Macaca fascicularis: one gene and its partner. The protein of the gene in region 1 purifies or fractionates together with the protein of each later gene. This does not show direct contact. Links are inferred from orthologs where the notes say so. Each region holds a gene or a part of one and is shown on either strand. Other genes may lie near its edges.

What was found.
Region 2: the proteins of HDAC11 (region 1) and GCFC2 purify together in Homo sapiens (co-immunoprecipitation; 3 studies listed by BioGRID and IntAct, counting the BioPlex papers as one, with this or other methods). This does not show direct contact. The link is inferred for Macaca fascicularis from reciprocal best matches to the Homo sapiens genes HDAC11 and GCFC2.

The regions. Positions count from the first base shown.
Region 1 is NC_088376.1:151,785,404-151,789,740, reverse strand, and holds the start of HDAC11 (histone deacetylase 11), read right to left. Parts: upstream 2,976-4,337; 5' UTR 2,930-2,975; coding exon 2,928-2,929; exon of another isoform or gene 2,789-2,927; intron 2,291-2,788; exon of another isoform or gene 2,173-2,290; intron 2,022-2,172; coding exon 1,873-2,021; intron 114-1,872; coding exon 13-113; intron 1-12. UniProt on the Homo sapiens protein: Responsible for the deacetylation of lysine residues on the N-terminal part of the core histones (H2A, H2B, H3 and H4).
Region 2 is NC_088387.1:46,159,188-46,163,546, reverse strand, and holds the start of GCFC2 (intron Large complex component GCFC2), read right to left. Parts: upstream 2,935-4,359; 5' UTR 2,865-2,934; coding exon 2,573-2,864; intron 1-2,572.

The DNA of each region.
Region 1 (4,337 bases):
GACATCCTGTACCTTGAGCTCATTAAGATAGCGCCTCGTGTGCACCACCAGCAGGTCCTCCTCCGAGGCCTCCCGCGCCTCCACCAGCATGCTGTCAGACAGAAGCTTCTCTTCTGAAACCACAGAGGGAGCACCCTGCTTCCCCACTGACCTCAAGGCCAGGGCCAGCCCCAGACCCTCCCGCAGGCTGCAGACTTGGCCTGTGGCAGCCCCTGCCCCAGGGGTAGGTGGGCACTGCTGGCTTCTGGGCCTTCTGAGAAGGGGCAGCCTCCACAGCCATTGTGGACAGTGGCCAGTCCCTCTGGCCAAGGAGCATTGAACATTGTACACACAGCGATCCCCATGTTTCCCAAACCACTAATAGTCACAAGGAGGGCTCAGGTGTGCCAGACAACCTTCAGGAGCAGGTGACACAAGGGTCAGGGATGTTGACCCTCAGAGTGAGAAAAACTCTTCTTAGGAATTCTCCCTCCACTTTTCCCTTTTCTTTTTTTTTTAATTCCTTTAAAGAGACAGGGTCTTGGCTAGATGTAGGGGCTCACGCCTGTAATCCCAGCACTTTGAGAGGTTGAGGTAGGTGGATTGCTTAAGCCCAGGAGTTCAAGACTAGCCTAGACAACATAGTGAGACCTCATGTTACAAAATATCAAAAACTGAGGTAGGAGGATCACTTAAGCCAGGGAGGTTGAGGCGGCAATGAGCCTTGATTCCACCACTGCACTCCAGCCCGGGTGATGGGAGTGAGACCCTGTCTCAATAAATAAATAAACAAATAAATAAATGTGAGACAAGGTCTTGCTCTGTAGCCCAGGCTGGAGTGCAGTGGCACAACCATAGCTCACTACAAGCTCGAACTTCTGGGCTCAAGTGATCCTCCTGCCTCAGCATTTCAAGTAGCTAGGACTATCCCAGCCAAGTTTTTTTATTTTTATTTTGTAGAGACAGGGTCTTGCTATGTTGTCCAAGCTTGTCTCAAACTCCTGGCCTCAAGTGATCCCCTAGCCTTGGCCTCCCAGAGTGCTGGGATTACAGGCATCAGCCACTGCACCCAGCCTCCCTCCACCTTCTGATGATATCACAGGAGGCTCAGTGAGGCATGGCCTCGCAACACCTGCCTGTGCTTTGCTCATCTTCCGTTCAAACCACCAATCAGTCTCACAGCCTGCAGGCAATAGTAACCAGCCTGGATTAAATTATACTGTTGTTTTCATTCCATTTATTTTTTTTACCATGACCTATTTATGGCAAGTGAAACTGCCTTTTCCCATTTTGATGACATAATGTTTCCTTTTAAAACAAGTTTAAGTGAATTTCCCAGCTAAATCAGGCCCCTTGATTACAAACCACAGTTAAAATGATGTGCTCTTTGAAGCATCATTTTGCTTAGGGGGATGAGCCCTAAAGGTGGGGAGCCTGGAGCTCTGAATTCCAAATCCAACTCCGCCTCTTAGTCACTGTGTGACTGTGTGCACGTTTCCTAATCTTTCTGGGCCCCAATTTCCCCCATCTGTAATCAAGGGAGGTGCAGTGGAGGTGCTCTACCTCCTGACTCTCTGAATCTTAGGGAATGGACTCCTCCAAGCTTCACCTTCCCTGTGCCCATCAGTAATCAGCTGCCTTTCCACTAGGCCTCTTGGGCAGAAGCGGGACTTAGGTCCACAGCATGGGGAGCCAAGGAGAGTCTGAGCCAGGGACATCATATCATGCTTAGGAATCTGTTAAAAAAATCCTTTTGGGCGGAAGCGTGGTTGGAAGGCAGTCCGAGGGCTGAAACTGAAGATGGGAGAGCCTGAGGCTTATGTTGGGGATGAGGACGGAGAGGACAGGTGGGTTAGAGGAAGCAGATGATAGTCCAAGGGGGGCCTTCCATACCTTTTAGGAAATTGATCACTTTGCCCCATTTTCCGGCATCAAAGGGATGCAGCTTCTCCAGGCCCATGAAGGTGATGTTGTAGCGCGGCGAGTACACGATTGGCCAGCGTGTCTCTGGCACATGCTGGTACAGCTGGGTTGTGTGTAGCCTACCGTGTGGAAAAGGACAGACGCACAGCTGGGACAGCCTCAGCAGAAAGCAGCTCCCTCCCGAGCCCGCCTGTACTGACCCACCAGCCTTTGTCCAGCACCACTAGCCCCTCAGCCACAGACAAGGGCCGCTCAACAACAGCTGCTTACACTGGTTGTCTTTTCCTGAACCCAATTCCGGTCCTCACAGCAGCCCTGGGGGTAGGCACCACAATCGCACCAGAGGCTTAGAGAGCAGACCAGGTGTGCCCAAGGTCACAGTGCAGGTCTGTGGAGAAGCGGGCGTGCACTCAGGTGTGCCTGGCTGCAAGGCCTCCGCGCATCACCTCTGCACTGTAATAACTGCCCCCACAGCTGTGTGGCACAAGGCTTCGGCTGCAAAATGTGTGGCTGTTGTGAGGACTCAGAGAATGCAGCTGAGGAGCCAAGCACAGCAAGCGCTCAGAAACGCAAATCGGGACCCAACCGGAGCCAGGGCGGGGGTCAGGGGTCCCCTGGCCCCGCTGCGCGGCTGACCCTTCCCATCACACCCTGGCAGTCGTCACTCAGAGACAGAAATCCGCCCCCGTGGCTGCCTCCGTGGGGGCGTCCGCGCAGCCAGGGGGCTGGGCAGCGCAGACGTCAGACCCGCGCACGTCGCCCGACCGCTCCGGGTCTGGGCCCGGGCCCGCGGCCGGCGCGCGTCCCTTGGACCACCGAACAGGGGCGCGGGGCTGGTCTGGCGCGCCGAGAGGGCCTGGAAGTACCCGTCCCGAGCGTCCCTCACCCGCAAATCTAGGCCTTCACCTGGCGCGCCCGCCCGGCCGTCCCCGCCCTTGCCCTAGCGCGCCCGCCCACCGGGACCCCTGGGAGCCCCTGGGGTTGGCCAGGGAGTCCCACCCCCGCCCTCACCCCGCGGCACTCACATCCCGGGGCCGGCCCTCCCAGCGCTGGCCGCGGCTCCGCGACCGGGCGGGGCGGGGCGGGGCGCGGGTGGGACCAGCCCAGGACACGCCCCCGGGCTTAGTCGCGTCCTCTGGGGGCGGAGCTCTGGCCGACTTGGCCCGCCCCGCCAGTATCGGCGTCACAGAGGGCCCGCCCGCCAGGAGGCCACCCCCAACGCCCATCAAGCCCGAAGTCCCGCCTCCGCAGGCAAATACCCGGTGGAATCCCGCCTGGCTTGGAAGCTCCGCCCCCTGGCGGGAGGGCCGCGCGGGTTTCACACCGGTGTCGCGGAAGGGGCGCGATCACCCTAGGTCCTGTTCCAGCGCTCCCCAAGCTGGGCAGAAACAGCGAGAGGCTGAGGGTTAGAAACGCTAGGTTCCCGGCGGGCTGTGCCGGGGCTTCGCTGTGTGACCTTGGGCTGGCGTCCGCGCTCTCTGGGCCCTTGTTTCCGCGGGTTAAACGTAGGGGCGAGGGAGTTTCTCTGGCCCTGCCGCCTGTGACCTAAGGAGCCCCGTGACCTCTCCGACCCGAGCCCACCCCCGGCCCAGTCTGCAGGAGCTCCGGGACAAGCACTTCCGGCGAAGGCATGTAGGCTCCCAGAGCCTGTGTTTCCCTCTGTAGAGCAGGCCTAATTACCGTCTTCAGGGTGCACGCGTCTTCGTCCCCGACCCGCACCCCCACCGCCGGGAGAAGCTGAGCCAGGCCAGAGGAACAGCTGGGGGTGTCCGCGGGGCTGCAACCCAGGAGGAGGCCCCAACAATGGAGCCCCAGAGGACAGAGACAATGGGCTTCTCTGTCGGCCCAGCTGTCCCCGCCAACCAAACAGAAGCAGCTGACGAAGGACTGCCGGGCTGGGATCCCTCGGCTCCGCAGGGGCGGCTGTGTGCCAGGGCGGGGCACAAGGGAAGCGCACAGACGTTTGAAGAGTGGCCCCCATGTGCCTGCCGTGGTTGCATGATGGCATTTGAGCCTCACAACCTAATCCTGATAGAGGTGACATCATCACTCCAACTTTATCATGAGGGAACTGAGGTTCGGGCCTGGGTTAAACCCAGACTCGGCCACCCGTCAGCATAGTGGCTTTGGGCAGTTTGCTTCAGCCTTCTGGTCCTTCATGTCTGCATCTGAAAATGAAGTACTGGGCTGGGTGTGGTAGCTCACGCCTGTATTCCCAGCACTTTGGGAGGCCGAGACCAGTGGATCACCTGAGGTCAGGAGTTCGAGACCAGCCTGACCAACATGGCGAAACCCTGTCTCTACTAAAAATACAAAAAATTAGCTGGGCGTGATGAAGTGCGCCTACAATCGCAGCTACTCGGGAGGCTGGGGCAGGTGAATCGCTTGAACCCGGGAGGGGAGGTTGCCGTGGGGCCGTGCCATTGCAATCCAGC
Region 2 (4,359 bases), on another chromosome or scaffold:
CGTTTAATTTTCTTTGTGACAAAATCAAAGTATTCATAAGACACTTTTGCTGCATCTTGAAATGCAATGGCTGCCTTAAGGAAAAGCATTTGTGTGACTGAGTTGCAAGCTGAACTAGACATTGTTTTTAAGAAGCATCACCATTTTACCTGAATGACTAACAAACTGGTTATTCAGACATGGCTATCTGACAAACATTTTCTCAAACTTGAGCCCAGTTTTGCCTATCACTTCCAAAATGAGAGATTTCAAGTGAAAATTGAGATTTTGGAAAACGTATATTCTCTACTGTGAACCTAACGGCTTTCCAATGCTTAGACTGATTAATTAGTGGTAATACTAACTGAGTTTTTTTGGTATTGTACTATAAAATGCTCCAACATTTGTAAGACCCGCAAACTCATCTAAAGAATACTTTCCAAATAACGCAAGATGTTACCAATCGTTCATGAGTAAAAGATCCAAAGTATAAAACAGAACAGAGTTTTAATGTAAGAGCACCCCAAATTTAATTTAATCATATGGTTTAAGATTCCATTTGGCAACTTTTTTTTTTTTTTTTTTTGAGATAGAGTCTCACTCTGTCACCCAGGCTAGAGTGCAGTGGCATAATCTCAGCTCACTGCAACCTCAGCCTCCCGGTTTCAAGCGATTCTCCTGCCTCAGCCTCCCGAGTAGCTGGGATTACAGGCACCCACCACCATGCCCAGCTAATTTTTGTATTTTTAGTAGAGATGGGGTTTCGCCATGTTGGCCAGGCTGGGCTCGAACTCCTGATCTCTTGATATGCCTGCCTCGGCCTCCCAAAGTGCTGGGCTTACAGATGTGAGCCACTGCGCCCTGCCCACAACTAACTTTTAAGAAGGGTTAGTTTATTACTTGTTGAGCTTTGTTATACTAAAGCATAACACTCTCAATGATCTAAAAAGGTTATTAAGTACTCGTCTTAACCATGTATCTGTCAGAGGCTATATTTTCTTCAAATACTTCAACCAAACCAAAAGAGAACAACAGATTAAAAGCAGAAACAGCTATGAGAATTCAGCTGTCTTCTATTAATATTTTGCCAGACATTAAAGAGATCTGCAAATTGAAAACAATGCTACTCTTTCTTTTTTTGTGCAATATTTTTCACAAAAATCTTACTTATCCTTACATGTAATAGATTTTTTAAGTGAATTAATAAATTTTATTTTTAGTATGGTAAATACTGATAGGTATAACCTACTGAAGCAAAAGCTCTTTGGAATCCTTAATCATTTCTAACAGTCTAAAGGAGGTCCAAATCCCTAAAAGTTTGAGAAACACTATTCTAGAAGGCAAGAGAAAAAGCAACTCCTTACTTCAACGTTCATCTACAAAGTTTCACCAGAAAACAAATATAAAAGGTCATGAAAACTTTAGACAAATAGAAGGTCACAAGAAAGACCAAGAAATCACGAAGATCACAAACCTGGAGGACATTATGTTACCTAAAATAAGACAGGCAGAGAGAGACAAACACCACATGACCTCGCATATGTAATCTAAAAAAGTGGAAATCAGAAGTCACAGAAGCAGAGAGTCCAGCAGTGGTTAGCAGGGACTGGGATTGAGAGTAGTTGGGGAGATACTGGTCAAAGGGCACAACATTTTAATTAGACAAGACGAATTCTATTTTACAACACGGTGACTAAAGTTAACAACAACGCATTGCATATTTGAAAATTACTGAGAGTAGATATTAAGTGTTCTCATCACAAAAAAAGTAAGTACCTAAGGCAATGCAAATGTTAATTAGCTCCATTTAGTCACTGTAGACACATTTCAAACATCATGTTGTATGCCATAAGTATATACAATTTTTACTTCTCAATAAATTAATAAAAATCACTTTAATGAGAATAAAAAATAGTAGGAAGATTTTGGATCTCAAGACTAACCAAAAACCGTATTCCTCATTAAGCTACAATTCAAACTCAGAGCAGCACATTTTATGTAAACAACTTTATGCTGCCTTACATCTGTATTTAAGAACTCAAAGGTACTTCAAAATGACACTATATTTAACACCATTACTGGTACAATCTACAGTGACATGAATCTCTATCATGCTTCTTTGTGTTGTATATATTATTTTTAATAGTTGTTGCAAATAACTGGTGAAAAAAGAAAACAAGCAAAGGGGAATGTTCCAAAACCTAGATTCTTGTATTATTCTGGCTAAATGTTTTCAAGAAAGATAAGTTGGGCAAGTGTCTAAAAGGTACATATAACTTCTGCCTACTTAATAGTATTTGAAATTATTGAATTCTGTTGTGACAATTTAGGTTCTTCATAAACCTTGTGTTAGTTATAACTGGTGGAGTCATCTGATGGTGAAAACGAAGAGCCTCCCAACTGTACAGGATTGTTTTATCTCCCCCAAGGAGTCCAAAAGGTAGATGCAGGCAGCGGGCGAGTGCTCGAGCTGTTTTCTCGCTCACTACCTTCAGGACTTGGACTTAGCACGGCTGATGATCGGCAGCAAGTTACAGAACCCCCGGAGAAAGATCCAGAGACCCCGCGGCCCCTTCCCGCCCTGTGCCGTCACCTCCTTTCTTCCCCGCGTCACCCTGACGCGGGGGTTCGTCCGCGCGGGGAGCCGCTTCCTTGGCGCGCCGGGAGCTCGCCCAGACCCGGCCCCGGCCACGAGGGCCCCGAACCCGGTGAGGCCGTCCTGCCACCCGCGCGCGGCCTCCTCCAGAGGGCGGCCCTTCCTCCGCAGAACCTGGGGCCGCAACTTCTCTCGGCACCCCAGGCTCAGCAGGCGACTCCTCGGCGCCATCGCTGTCGCTGGAATTGGCAGCGCGCTGCCGAAAAGTCCTTTTCGGCCTGTGAGCCATGGCCGAGACCCAAGGGCCCGGAGCCCTATGACCCGGTGAACCCCAAGCCAGAGCTTCAGTGCCCGCCCCCAGCGCGCGCGCCCGCCTCTCCTGGTTGCCGAGTGCGCGCGCCCGTCCGCCAGCCTTCTACTACCCGCTTCTCTGTCTGCGCCTGCGTGATTTGCCTTCTTGGCTGTGGTTGGCCGAATTCTGTTCTGGGGTCTGGGTCTGTAGAGGCAAAGCGTTCCTTTTGCCAATTTAGGTTGCGTGGACTGACATCTAGAGATTTCCACGGCCTCTCTGGGCTGAGTCCCACGGAGAGCAGAACTCACGTGCTCTCCTTGTGAATTAGGCTTTATGCTCTCCGTCCTGGACTGGAGCCAGATCCGTTGTCTTTTATTTTCCGGAGAAAGAGCCCCCTCCAACCAAGATGTAAAACAAACGAAACCCCAGTAGTGTGAGGCTCGGGGTAGAAGGAGACGCCTCTGAGAGAAAAACAGTAAAGTCTGTACATAAACAATGCATACAGACTAGCAAAAATCAAACGACTACTCTCAGGCAACAGAACTTCACGAGAAGTCCTGGTTAGTCCTGGTTAAATGCTTTCACCCTTAAGGAAAGTATCTAAAAACAAAAAAAGGCTATTGTCTGAGGCAAATTTGTACTATATTCATTAAGCTCTGTCTACAGAAAGGAAGCCTGCACCATAAATTTTGAGTGATTGATCGTTTTGGTAAAACCTATTGTTATTTGGGTGCCTCTGACTGTCTACATCTAGAGCAATTCATCCAGTTCATTTAATTCATCTTGCTGCAGTTGGTTCCGTGCTCAACGACGTTTCTGCCTCTGCTTTAGAGAACAAAGCTTTCTAAGGGCTTCACAGAAGTGGATATTTTAAGGGATTAAATCTCCAGACTCTCAGCTTTGTTAAATGAAAACCGTAAACAAATTAAACAGAGTTTAATTAAGCAAATCACACGCCCCCTAAACTAGACTAGGTTCAGAGAGGCTTTAAGCGTAGCCAGCCACCTAGTGGAAGATTTATGGATGGAAAAACAAAAGTGAGGTACAGAAAACAGAACTAAATATGTGTTAGAAGGACTCTGTACTTCTATATCTGAGTCCTCGTGGAGGAACGTTAACCTAACTTAACAGTGTGAATTCCAAAATTTTGAGACAGTTCTCAACTAATTTAGAAAGTTTATTTTGCCAAGGTTAATGACACACGCCCGTGACACAGCCTCAGGAAGTCCTGATGACATGTGACCAAGGTAGTTGGGGCACAGCTTCGGTTTATACATTTTAGGGAGACATGAGACATCAATCAATATATGTAAGATGTACGTTGGTTCCGTCCAGAAAGGTGGGGACAACTTAAGCAGGGAGGGGGCTTCCAGGTCACAGGAAGGTGAGAGACAAATAATTGCATTATTTTGAATTTCTGATAAGCCTTTTCAAAGAAGACAATCAGAATATGCATCTATCTCAGTGAGCAGAGGGATGACTTTGAATAGAT